Macaca fascicularis: one gene and its partners. The protein of the gene in region 1 purifies or fractionates together with the protein of each later gene. This does not show direct contact. Links are inferred from orthologs where the notes say so. Each region holds a gene or a part of one and is shown in the gene's direction. Other genes may lie near its edges.

Region 1 (3,643 bases):
ATATGTTTTATATAAAATATTCCAAAAGGAATGTTTCATAAGTTAACCTTCCAGAATTCTAATTTCAGATTTTCTGAGTGATAATCTTTCTTTTCTACTCATAAAAAAAAAAAAAAAAAACTCCGTAGGTAGCAAAGTACAGTGTTTCCCAGCACTACTTCTTTTAGTGACACATAAAACCTTAAGTTTCTGTGAAATTGTACCTTGTACTATGAAATGGGTATCAATCGAGAGGCTTTGTATTCAAAAGCTCAGTCCTTGAAATTAATATGGCTTACTGGTAATGAAGAAAATCTGAAGGAAAAACAAGATGCATGGACAAAAATAACTCCTTTTACTGATTTTTTATATTTGATTGCAGGTCACCTGGATTCTTCAGGACTTCAGGAAGTGCATTTAGCTGGGATGTAAGTTCTGTTGCTAAATGAACCCCATGCAAAAGCTTTTTAGCACTGGTCATAGAGATTTTATCCTGTGCGGACTCTGCAGAGTGCAAAACCTTTCATATTGGGTATAAGTGGGCTTTGAGGCCTAGTTCCTTACCTTGAACAGTTTCTAAGGTTTCCAGATCTAAATAGTGTTGTGAAAATGAAGGCTATTCATTTTAACTGTCATAATCAGAAGTATCTATAAGGAAATGAAGGAAAATGGTATACTACACTTATATAGGCTTTTATTTGAATGTGAAAAGTGCTGTATCTTAGTAATTCAAAGTACAGAGTGGCCAGGCGCGGTGGCTTACATCTGTAGTAATCCCAGCACTTTGGTAGGCCAAGGCAGGCGGATCAGATGAGGTCAGGAGTTCAAGACCAGCCTGCCCATCATGCAGAAACCCCGTCTCTATTAAAAATACAAAAATTAGCCGGGTGGGGTGGCACATGCCTGTAATCGCAGCTACTTGGGAGGTTGAGGTAGGAGAATTGCTTGAGCCCGGGAGGCGGAGGTTGCAGTGAGCAGAGACCGCACCACTGCCCTCCAGCCTGGGCGACAGAGCGAGACTGCGTGTTGAAAAGAAAAAAGAAAGTACAGAGTGTAGGCTCTGGAATCAGTGTCTGGATTCCTGGCTTACTACTTCATTCACCAGTTGTGACTCTGCTTTAGACCTTAATTTTTTTTATTTGTAACATGGAGATAATAATAGCACTTGTCATAAAGTAGCTATTGTAAGGATTAAATAAACTGTGTATCTAACACATACCAAGCATTTTATTTATGTATTTATTTTTATTTTTGAGATGGAGTCTGGCTCTGTTGCCAAGGATTGAGTGCAGTGGCGCCATCTTGACTCACTGCAACCTCTGCCTCCCTGGGTTCAAGCGATTTAAGCAATTCTCCTGCCTCAGCTTCCTGAGTAGCTGGGATTACAGGCATCCACCACCATGCCTGGCTAATGTTTGTATTTTTAGTAGAGATGAGGCTTCACCATGTTGGCCAGGCTGCTCTTGAACTCCTGACCTCAAGTGATCAGCAACCCCCTCGGCCTCCCAAAGTGCTGGGATTACAGATGGGAGTCACCTGGCCCGGCCTGAATTGCTTTAAATGCTCTAACCCAGATAGATAATGAAATCCACAGAGGGAGGATAGAAATTTATATATAGATATGTTTTTTGTTTGTTTTGTTTTGTTTTGTTTTTGGAGATGGAGTCTCACTCTGTTGCCAGAATGGAGTGCAGTGGCCTGATCTCAGCTCACTGCAACCTCCGCCGCCCAGGTTCAAGCGATTCTCTCACTTCAGCCTCCCGAGTAGCTGGGACTACAAGCACACGCCACGATGCCCAGCTAATTTTTGTATTTTTATTTTATTTTTTTATTTATTTTTATTTTTTTTTGAGACAGAGTCTCGCTCTGCCGCCCAGGCTGGAGTGCAGTGGCGTGATCTTGGCTCATGCAAGCTCCGCCTCCCGGGTTCATGCCATTCTCCTGCCTCAGCCTCCCGAGTAGCTGGGACTACAGGCGCCCGCCACCTCGCCCGGCTAGTTTTTTTGTATTTTTTAGTAGAGACGGGGTTTCACCGTGTCAGCCAGGATGGTCTCGATCTCCTGACCTCGTGATCCGCCCGTCTCGGCCTCCCAAAGTGCTGGGATTACAGGCTTGAGCCACCGCGCCCCGCCAATTTTTGTATTTTTAATAGAGACGGGGTTTCACCATGTTGGTCAGGATTGTCTCGATCTCTTGACCTCGTGATCTGCCCGCCTCGGCCTCCCAAAGTGCTGGGATTACAAGCATGAGCCCCCACGCCGGGCTTTTTTTTTTTTTTCTTCCAGACGGAGTTTTGCTCTTGTTGCCCAGGCTTGAGTGCAGTGGTGCGATCTCGGTTCACCACAACCTCCCCCTCCCGGATTCAAGAGATTCTCCTGCCTCAGGCTCCCGAGTAGCTGAGATTACAGGTATGCGCCACCACGCCCAGCTAATTTTGTATTTTCAGTAGAGAGACGGGTTTCTCTGTGTTGGTCAGGCTGGTCGCGAACTCCCAACCTCAGGTGATCCGCCCGCCTCAGCCTCCCAAAGTGCTGGGATTACAGGCGTGAGCCACCCCGCCCGGCCAGAAATTAAATTTTTTTAAAAAATTAGCCCTGGCCGGCACGGTGGCTCACGCCTGTAATCCCAGCACTTTGGGAGGCTGAGGCGGGCGGATCACAAGGTCAGGAGATTGAGACCATCCTGGCTAACATGGTGAAACCCCGTCTCTACTAAAAATACAAAAAATTAGCTGGGCGTGGTGGCGGGCGCCTGTAGTCCCAGCTACTCAGGAGGCTGAGGCAGGAGAATGGCGTGAACCTGGGAGGCGGCGCTTGCAGTGAGCTGAGATCCTGCCACTGCACTCCAGCCTGGGTGACAGAACCAGACTGTCTCAAAAAAAAAAAAAAAAAATTAGCCCCAATACACTGTGCTGGAAAATTAGTAAATTGTATAAAACTCGTTCATCTTTGGTACATGTTTATTTATATGGTTATACAGGCAAAATGAGGGTCTTATCCCCAAGATATCACTTGAGTCTTCATATTTACCACAGAGAATACCCTATGTATTGTTGTTGGAAGAGACATATCAACTGGGAATAGGGCTCCTAGAATGAAATTTTAAAAATGTTGGGATGCACCAAATCCACTGAAGAATAATCAAACAGTATTTGGGGCTAACCTGACAGGCAGTTTGTTTTAATCTGCAGGAATCATCACCAGCACCTAATGAAATGTAGCCCAGTGAGTAGCCTCTCTTTTTTGGGTTTGGGTTTGCTTTTCAGGTGGGAGACAGAGGGTTTCCATTGCACCTGTGACTTGATGCGGGACGTTCTCAGCAAACTCTTTTTTAGGCACAGCTTCTCTGTAGCACTCCGAATGGTTTGGACCGTGGCCATAGAAAGAGAGATGCAATGTGTAGCTTATCTGCAAATAAAGAAAATGTGAGTGTTTAATGGAAACCTAGATATATTGGCAGTTTTATTTTTTTGAGTGAAGAAACTTGTTGTTATCATAGTGAGACGTAGAACTGTTTATACCTCGTATGCTAGACAAGCAAAACTGTATTACTATAGGGGAGAAAAATTGTTTGTTTTTGTTTTTTCTTATTAAAGTTTGGCCCTAGGACAGACACCCAGCTCCAAGTTCTCCACAGTAGGTCATCATTATTTCTCATGTTCAGT
Region 2 (4,281 bases), on another chromosome or scaffold:
CCCTTACAAATGGGAAAGACGCAACTCACGTTGTCGATCACGACAGGCTGGTTGGCGATCACATCGTAGGACTCCATGGCAGAGGAATCTCTCCTTCTGGGGAAGGAACTGCCTAGCCGGGTCCGCCGCTAGCGCCACTGACACGCATGCGCAGTCTAGCCGCCGGCTCAGGGAGGCGAGGGAGCTGCCCTACCTCACCTCTGAAAAACTACAATCCCCAGCATGCTTTGCGCCTGGGTTAGCGCTCTAGGTTGCTTTGTTGCCCGCCTAATTTAAGACTGGGAGTCGTATTTCCGATGCACAGTACCCTGGGATTTGTGGTCTCCCTAGATTAAACAGCCAGAGACACAGGTTGATGGTCATGTTGCATGCCTGGATCTGTAGTCCCTTTGAAGGAGTTCGCAGTGCATACTGAGGTGTATAGTCTTCTTGAGTACTTGTCTGTAGTTCGGTTTGGATTGGTCGTAATTCATGGATGTTTGGATTTTGCAGATCAGTCCTGCCACTCCCCACAACGTTCCCTTAGACAATATAAGGTTCTCATGCTTTTATTTGGGTCTATAAGACTAATAAACATCTCCTAGCACCTCACACTCTAACGAAAAGGAAATGTTAACACACGTACGCGACAGGACATATTCCTACAACATAGGAAAACAATTTAAATTGCATAAAATTAGCTTTAAGGAAAAAACCTGTACATTGTTGTTGCTTTTTGGGTTTTCTTTTTTTCTGCATAGGTGTAAACTTTATAACAGGCTAACATTGATCCGAGGATTGGCAATTGGAACTACTGTTATAGGTAATCTTTTGGTCATTAAAACATCATCTAAGGGTTTCAGGAACTGCTGTAGTATCTCTTTAATTTTCATGAGGAGCTAGAATTGGCATTGACGGTTGAGAAAGTGGAGGTGAAGAGAGGTTATGTGTCACTGCTTTCAAATGAGCCCAGTGCATTTTTTTCTTTGGATTATGTTCTTCCCCAGCCCCCTTCAAATTGCAGGAACCTTTTTGTCAATAGCCCTAGAAAATATTAGATTTATTATAATCTATTAATATTAACGCCCCATGGATTAATGAATCAATCCATTGTCAGATTTATGTTTAAATCCTAGTTAGCAGCGCGTCAGCAAAACAGTAACAAATCCTTTGTTGGCGCACTTCTTGGTGCTTTCGTGGGACCCTAGCACCTCAGAGGGTGCTCAGCATCTCTAAACTTGGGTTCCTCCTAACACTAGGGGGAGACCAAGAGCCTTGGGACACTCCCAACACGGGGGGGGGAGGGGCCTATTGTCAAGTCACGCCGTCTCTGCCTGTGACTAGCACAGACACTAGCCAATGGGTGCTTGGATAGGGCGCGCCGGCGCCCCGCCTTCCTGAGCGCCCCGCCGCCCCGAGGCACCCTCTGGCAGACTCCGCGGCGGCGACAGCCTGGGCGGACAGTGCGCCGTGCGCAGGCGCGGAGCTGGACCTCGCTGCAGCCCCCATCGCCTCGGGGAGTCTCACCCACCGAGTCCGCCCGCTGGCCCGTCAGTGCTCTCCCCCTCGTTTGCCCTCTCCAGTTCTCCCAGGGCCTGCCCTACGCGCCCCGATGGCGGAGCTGCGGCCTAGCGGCGCCCCCGGCCCCACCGCACCCCCGGCCCCTGGCCCGACTGCCCCTCCAGCCTTCGCTTCGCTCTTTCCCCCGGGACTGCACGCCATCTACGGAGAGTGCCGCCGCCTTTACCCTGACCAGCCGAACCCGCTCCAGGTTACCGCTATCGTCAAGTACTGGTATGCTCTGGGCCGCGGGGAGACGGACAGGCGCGGGCTGGGAAGGGTTAAAGCGCCGAGGGCGAAGTAATTTGTGGGAGGCTGGGAGGAGGGGTAGAGAACGGTTAAAGCACTTGGAAGGAGGGCTTCCTGCTGCGAGGGAAGGAGTTAAGGCTCAAGTTGGGAATGGGGACAAAGGGGTTAACGGAGCCTGTGGGTAGTGAAGGGTTAACCGGGTTTAGGAGAATAGAGTGAGGACTAGGGGTGTGTGTAGGAGCAGAGAGGGGAACGGCATGAGCGAGGGAACTGTAAACGTGGTGAAAAGAGGGGGCGCCTGTAGGGGGTCATTAGTGGGCGAGGGGAAGCCAAGCGGGGGCGGCAGAAGTGGGATGGGAGAGGCGAGGCGGAGCCTGGGGAGCATTTGAGAGGGTTTTGGAGGAGCGAGGCCGGAGAAGCTCAGAGGGCAAGAGACTGCATAGGATGGCGGGCGGGGGGCGGTTCGGGGGGCCCGGGGCTCTCCTGTTGGAGGTAGGAGGGCCAAAGATGAGGGCCTGGTGCTTGTGGAGAGATGAGGAGGAGGTCTCCTTTTGATACCTTCCCGATGAACTCAGACGTCGTATCAGGGTAAAGCTTTTGCTTTTGAAGTTTGACGGAGCAGCTCTTCCTGATAAACTTCTTGCTTACTCTGCACTGTTCTCTTTCTCCGTGCAGAGCTTCCTCCTAGCTCTGCAGCGGCTTTGCTTTAGGACATTAGGTAGAGAGAACCATGGTTTGGTTTAGGATTGAAAGGGACCACAGCTTCCCACCTCCATTTGGAAATAAATGATGGAGACCCTGGGACTCCAGCAGGGAGGAATTGTGAAGTGGGACATAAAGAGGAGCTTCTTGACCATGGCCTGCAGTTTCTCCGGGGAGCTGAGAGTAACCCTCAAGTAGCTTTAGGGTAGGAATGGTCTTTTCTAATTTCCCGTTCCTGTTTGCAACCTGTTTCTTCCTGCAGCATTTGGGCAAAACAGATGTTCTGGGGACTCTGGAAAAGAACCTGTCCTCATGGTCTTGCTGGACCAAAAACAGATACTGGTTGAAACTGTCCAGGACTACATTCATGCAGGCATTGTGTTAGATGATCTTCAGTGAGTCCTGAAAGATGTTCGGCAGCTGCTTGGGGTGTAGCCAAAGGGTAGACCTGAAGGGGCAAGTGGACATCTTTGCTGGTTACCTCTCCTTTTAGAACTGAGTCTCCCTCTTGGTGAAAACCTGTTACTTCCCCTGGACATGGATTTCAGTAGGCTGTGCAGGGCTGAGGCCAGCTGCCTGTGTCAACGGGAGGATGCCAAGAGGCCAACAGCGTGGAGGGCCTGGGGACCAGCCACCTGCTGTCTAGGAAGGGTTGTAGGGAACAGCCTCCTCTGTTGGAGTAGCCAGGAGGAGGTAGAACTGGTGTCACAGTCCTCTCTGGCTGGCAAACAGTTCTCTGGTTGAGAGGAGTTGTTGAAGAGTGCTTCTGAGTGGAAAGCAGCTCTTGCTAGCTTAATGACCCATTCTCATTGTGCCTTTATATTTAACTATTTGTTGTGATGAACTTGTTGTCATGTGTCATGAGAAAGGTAGGCCTGGGCTGGGCACGGTGGCTCATGCCTATATTCCCACCACTTTGGGAGGCCTTGAGGATCCTTTGAGGCCAGGAGTTCGAGAGCAGTTTAGGCAACATAGCCAGACCTTGTCTCTGTTATTTGAAAAACAAAAAAGGAAGTGGGCCTGGCTCTGCCATGCTGTTTGTTCAGGCCTCATTTGAGTGTGAGGAGAAATCCCTACATAGATTCAGGCAACTATTTTTATGTCACACAAGTAGCCATAAAGGATAGAATTGCATGTTAAAGGTATGATAGTGTTTGCAAAGGACTAAGGGCAATTTTTTTTTCCCTTCCTGCTGCAAGCTTGTTAACAGCCGTATCTTCAGAGATGGGCCAACATGTGATAATGAAGAAAAGGGATTGTACAGCACTTTGTGAAAGCCTTGCCTAGATGCAGAAAAATATAAAGAGAAACAGCACAGTGACTGGTACTTTCTCTTTTTTGTTTGAGACAGAGTTTTGTTCTGTCACCCAGGCTGGAATGCAGTAGCATGATCTTGGCTCACTGCAACCTCTGTCTCCTGGTTTCAAGCGATTCTCATGCCTCAGCCTCCCAAGTAGCTGGTATTACAGGCGCACACCACCATGCCCAGCTAATTTTTGTATTTTTAGTACAGGCAGGGTTTCACCATATTGGCCAGGCTGGTCTCAAACTCCTGACCTTGAGTGATCCACCCACCTCGGCCTCCCAAAGTGCTGGGATTACAGGCATGAGTCAGTGCGCCCAGCCGTCAATGACTGGTACTTTCTAAGATGCGGAGGGGTTTGCAAAAATAAGATCCTGAAATTCATTTATATTCCTCACATTTGGGATCCCACGAGGTTTCTAGCAGGATGACTGACCCAGACTGTCTGGGTCTGTCTGTGGCCCAGGGTAGCTTGGGATTCATTTTGC
Region 3 (3,643 bases), on another chromosome or scaffold:
ATGTGAGTGGTGGCTGGTGTTGAGGCAGGGAATTCCAGACGGGGGCAGCGGGAGGTTGCCATCAATAGGAAGGTGGTTAGGGAAGGGGTCCTCGCTAAGGCAACATGGAGCCCAGATGGTGCGGGTGCCATAGAGTCAGCTGTGGGGGGATCTGAGGGAAAATCATTCCAAGTAGTTGGAACAGCCAGTGTGAAGGCCTTGAAGTTCAAGAAAAAAGCAGGCTCTGCAGAGCAGAGTGGCTCCTGCCTGTGGTCCCAGCACTTTGGGAGGCCAAGGCGGAAGAGTCGCTTGAACCCAGGACTTCAAGACCCGTCTGGGCAACATGGCGAAACCCCATCTTTACTGCAAATACAAAAATTAGCTGGGCGTGGTGGTGCACACCTGTAGTCCCAGCTACTCGGGAGGCGAGGTGGGAGGATTGCCTGAGCCCAGGGAGGTCGAGGCTTCAGTAAGTCGTCATTGGGCCACTGCACTCTGACCTGGGCGACAGAGTGAGACCCTGTTTTTTTGTTTTTTTTCTAAAAGAAAAAAAAATGGTCTCAAGAAAAGGTGAGAAAAGTGAGGGGCCAGTGTGGCTGGAAGGAAGAGTTAGCAGGGGAGGTGCTGGGGCAGATTGTGTAGGGCCTACGTAGGCTGTGGTGACAACCTGGACTCTGCTCTGAGTGAGATGGGAGCCGCCAGGGTTCTGAGCGGAGGACGGAGGGACCGGACCCCACTTGGGTGTGCGTCGGCACCTGTGGGGGCAGGGGCGGAAGCTGGGAGACCAGGGCACGGGAGGTGGAGGCATACTTTTTCCCGGGGCCATCTCTGGTGCGGGGATTGGGTATGGGGCTGGGGGTAAGGGACAGGCCGCTCCCCAAAGTTGATAGGCCGCCCCTGCCCGCAGGCCCGGGTGGAGCGCATGGAGCAGTTCCAGAAGGAGAAGGAGGAACTGGACAGGGGCTGCCGCGAGTGCAAGCGCAAGGTGGCCGAATGCCAGAGGAAGCTGAAGGAGCTGGAGGTGGCTGAGGGCGGCAAGGCAGAGCTGGAGCGGCTGCAGGCCGAGGCACAGCAGCTGCGCAAAGAGGAGCGGAGCTGGGAGCAGAAGCTGGAAGAGATGCGCAAGAAGGAGAAGAGCATGCCCTGGAACGTGGACACGCTCAGCAAAGACGGCTTCAGCAAGGTGTGCGGGGCGGGCGGGGCGGGCAGTGCACTTGCGCAGCCAGCGAGTATGCAGCCAGGACGCATGCGCACCCAATGCCTGGTCAGGGGAGGACCGCGGCGGTGTAGTTGAAGAGTGTGGTGTGGGGCAGAGAGCTGAGGGACGGACGGGGGCCACGTGGGAGGGGGGACAGGCTTGGAGGGCCGGGCGGATGAAACACCCCACCGGTCCCCTCCTCTGATCTGCCCCAAGGCCCATGCCCACGCTCCCGCCACCTTGATGCTCATGGCTTCGTCACCACCTCCGCCGTGGATGGGATGGGCGCTGCGGCCACGGCCCGCCCGGCCGCACTCGAGGCGCTCCGCAGCCTTGCCCCAGCCCACTCCCCCTCTCACCCTACCACAGAGCATGGTCAACACCAAGCCCGAGAAGACAGAGGAGGACTCAGAGGAGGTGAGGGAGCAGAAACACAAGACTTTCGTGGAAAAGTACGAGAAACAGATCAAGCACTTTGGTGAGTGGGGCGTGTGAGGTTATGGGGGGCAAGGTCGGGGCAGGCCCTTTGCCTCCAGGGCCCTCCAGCACCTTGCCAGCATCTTCCCACAGGCATGCTCCGCCGCTGGGATGACAGCCAAAAGTACCTGTCAGACAATGTCCACCTGGTGTGCGAGGAGACGGCCAATTACCTGGTCATCTGGTGCATTGACCTAGAGGTGGAGGAGGTGAGTGGAGCTTTCCCCAGGGCTGTGAAAAGGTGCTGCCCTGAGGCCGCCACTTGGTAACACTGTGCCTGTTCTCCCTGGCAGAAATGTGCACTCATGGAGCAGGTGGCCCACCAGACAATCGTCATGCAGTTTATCCTGGAGCTGGCCAAGAGCCTGAAGGTGGACCCCCGGGCCTGCTTCCGGCAGTTCTTCACTAAGATTAAGGTAGGGTCCCCTGAGCTGCCAGGTGGCTGGAGGCCCCCTCCCCAGGGAACCAGCCCACAGCGCTCTGGGTAAGGCCGACTCCTGTCCACTGGGACTCAAGCCCCTCCAATCACCGAATCCTAGATCAGGAGAGGGCGGGGCCAAGGAGGGGGAGAGAAGTGGGCGGATGCTGCCAGACTTTAAAAGTGGAGGTCAGGCCAGGCTTGGTGACTGAGTCCTATAGTCCAAGTCTTTGGGAGGCTGAAGCAGGAGGACCACTTGAGCTCAGGAATTTGTGAGCTGTGGTGTTCCACTGCACTCCAGCCTGGGTGACAGAGCAAAACTGCATTACAAAAAAAAATGGGAGCACTAGGATGTGCTGGAGGTCCCCATGTGGATATGTGGGTAAAGGACAGAGGTGAGGGTGCCTCTAGGGCTCTGGGCTTTTTTTTGTTTTTGAGACCCAGTCTTGCTATCACCAAGGCTGGAGTGCAATGGCGTGATCTCAGCTCACTACAACCCCTGCCTCCTGGGTTCAAGCAACTCTCATGCCTCAGCCTCCCAAGTAGCTGGCATTACAGGCGCCTGCCAGCCTCTCGGGTTTTTAACTTGCGCACCTGGAGGAACAGGGGTACCCTTACCAAGACTGGGGAGACCAAGGACAAGGCAGGCTGGGAGGTGGCCGTGTTGAGTTAGAGGTGCCCATGCAGGGACACTGAGGACACGAGTGTCTCGGATCTGCAGTAGAGCAGGGCTCCCAAGGAGGTGGTCTTTAGCAAATGCCAGATGAGGTCCCTGGCAGGGGAGCCCAGGCCTTGGGAAGCCCTTTATGTAAGTCAGGAACAGACTTAGGGAGCCCTGGGGCACCTCTGAGGAGCTGTGGCTGGAGGGTCCTGGGCCCCCAGTCCCTCCTGAGCACTGGGCCAAGTCTAGTGAGCACTGCCCGACCCCCATAGACAGCCGATCGCCAGTACATGGAGGGCTTCAACGACGAGCTAGAAGCCTTCAAGGAGCGTGTGCGGGGCCGTGCCAAGCTGCGCATTGAGAAGGCCATGAAGGAGTATGAGGAGGAGGAGCGCAAGAAGCGGCTTGGCCCCGGCGGCCTGGACCCTGTCGAGGTCTACGAGTCCCTCCCTGAGGTGCGGCTCCCCAGCCCAGGCGGGCGGCAGGAGGACCCTGAGCGGGACCCCCCAGGGCACAGGGACCCAGCCCCTGACCCCAGCCCTTCTATACCCCCAGGAACTCCAGAAGTGCTTCGATGTAAAGGACGTGCAGATGCTGCAAGACGCCATCAGCAAGATGGACCCCACCGTGAGTAACCCCCACGTCCCATGCCTTTCCAGCGGGCCATGTGTCTCCCCCAGCCCTGTGTCCCAAGTCTCTGAAGCCAGTTGGTGAAAGTGCCCCTTCAAGGCTTCTCCAAGGACTAAGGGGGGTCGTGTTACCTTGGCACACACCCACATTTATTGAGCACCTACTGTGTCCCAGCATCCAGCAGATAAATGCTGAGCTTTGAGCGTATGTCCCTTGTGACTGATAGTCACTGTTAATGTGACTGAGTCCAGCCTCAGTTTCCTTATGCAAACCATATTTT

The links.
Region 2: the proteins of CDC25C (region 1) and SUFU purify together in Homo sapiens (affinity purification with mass spectrometry; 4 studies listed by BioGRID and IntAct, counting the BioPlex papers as one, with this or other methods). This does not show direct contact. The link is inferred for Macaca fascicularis from reciprocal best matches to the Homo sapiens genes CDC25C and SUFU.
Region 3: the proteins of CDC25C (region 1) and CDC37 purify together in Homo sapiens (affinity purification with mass spectrometry; 3 studies listed by BioGRID and IntAct, with this or other methods). This does not show direct contact. The link is inferred for Macaca fascicularis from reciprocal best matches to the Homo sapiens genes CDC25C and CDC37.

Annotation. Positions count from the first base shown.
Region 1 is NC_088380.1:144,825,078-144,828,720, reverse strand, and holds part of CDC25C (M-phase inducer phosphatase 3), read left to right. Parts: intron 1-361; coding exon 362-407; intron 408-3,169; coding exon 3,170-3,203; intron 3,204-3,244; exon of another isoform or gene 3,245-3,313; coding exon 3,314-3,403; intron 3,404-3,643. UniProt on the Homo sapiens protein: Functions as a dosage-dependent inducer in mitotic control. Tyrosine protein phosphatase required for progression of the cell cycle. When phosphorylated, highly effective in activating G2 cells into prophase.
Region 2 is NC_088383.1:111,512,309-111,516,589, forward strand, and holds the start of SUFU (suppressor of fused homolog), read left to right. Parts: upstream 1-1,400; 5' UTR 1,401-1,591; coding exon 1,592-1,773; intron 1,774-4,281. Other genes in the region: ACTR1A (alpha-centractin), read right to left, coding at 30-77. UniProt on the Homo sapiens protein: Negative regulator in the hedgehog/smoothened signaling pathway. Down-regulates GLI1-mediated transactivation of target genes. Down-regulates GLI2-mediated transactivation of target genes. Part of a corepressor complex that acts on DNA-bound GLI1.
Region 3 is NC_088393.1:10,958,357-10,961,999, reverse strand, and holds part of CDC37 (hsp90 co-chaperone Cdc37), read left to right. Parts: intron 1-886; coding exon 887-1,162; intron 1,163-1,393; coding exon 1,394-1,655; intron 1,656-1,747; coding exon 1,748-1,863; intron 1,864-1,947; coding exon 1,948-2,070; intron 2,071-3,005; coding exon 3,006-3,188; intron 3,189-3,288; coding exon 3,289-3,360; intron 3,361-3,643. UniProt on the Homo sapiens protein: Co-chaperone that binds to numerous kinases and promotes their interaction with the Hsp90 complex, resulting in stabilization and promotion of their activity. Inhibits HSP90AA1 ATPase activity.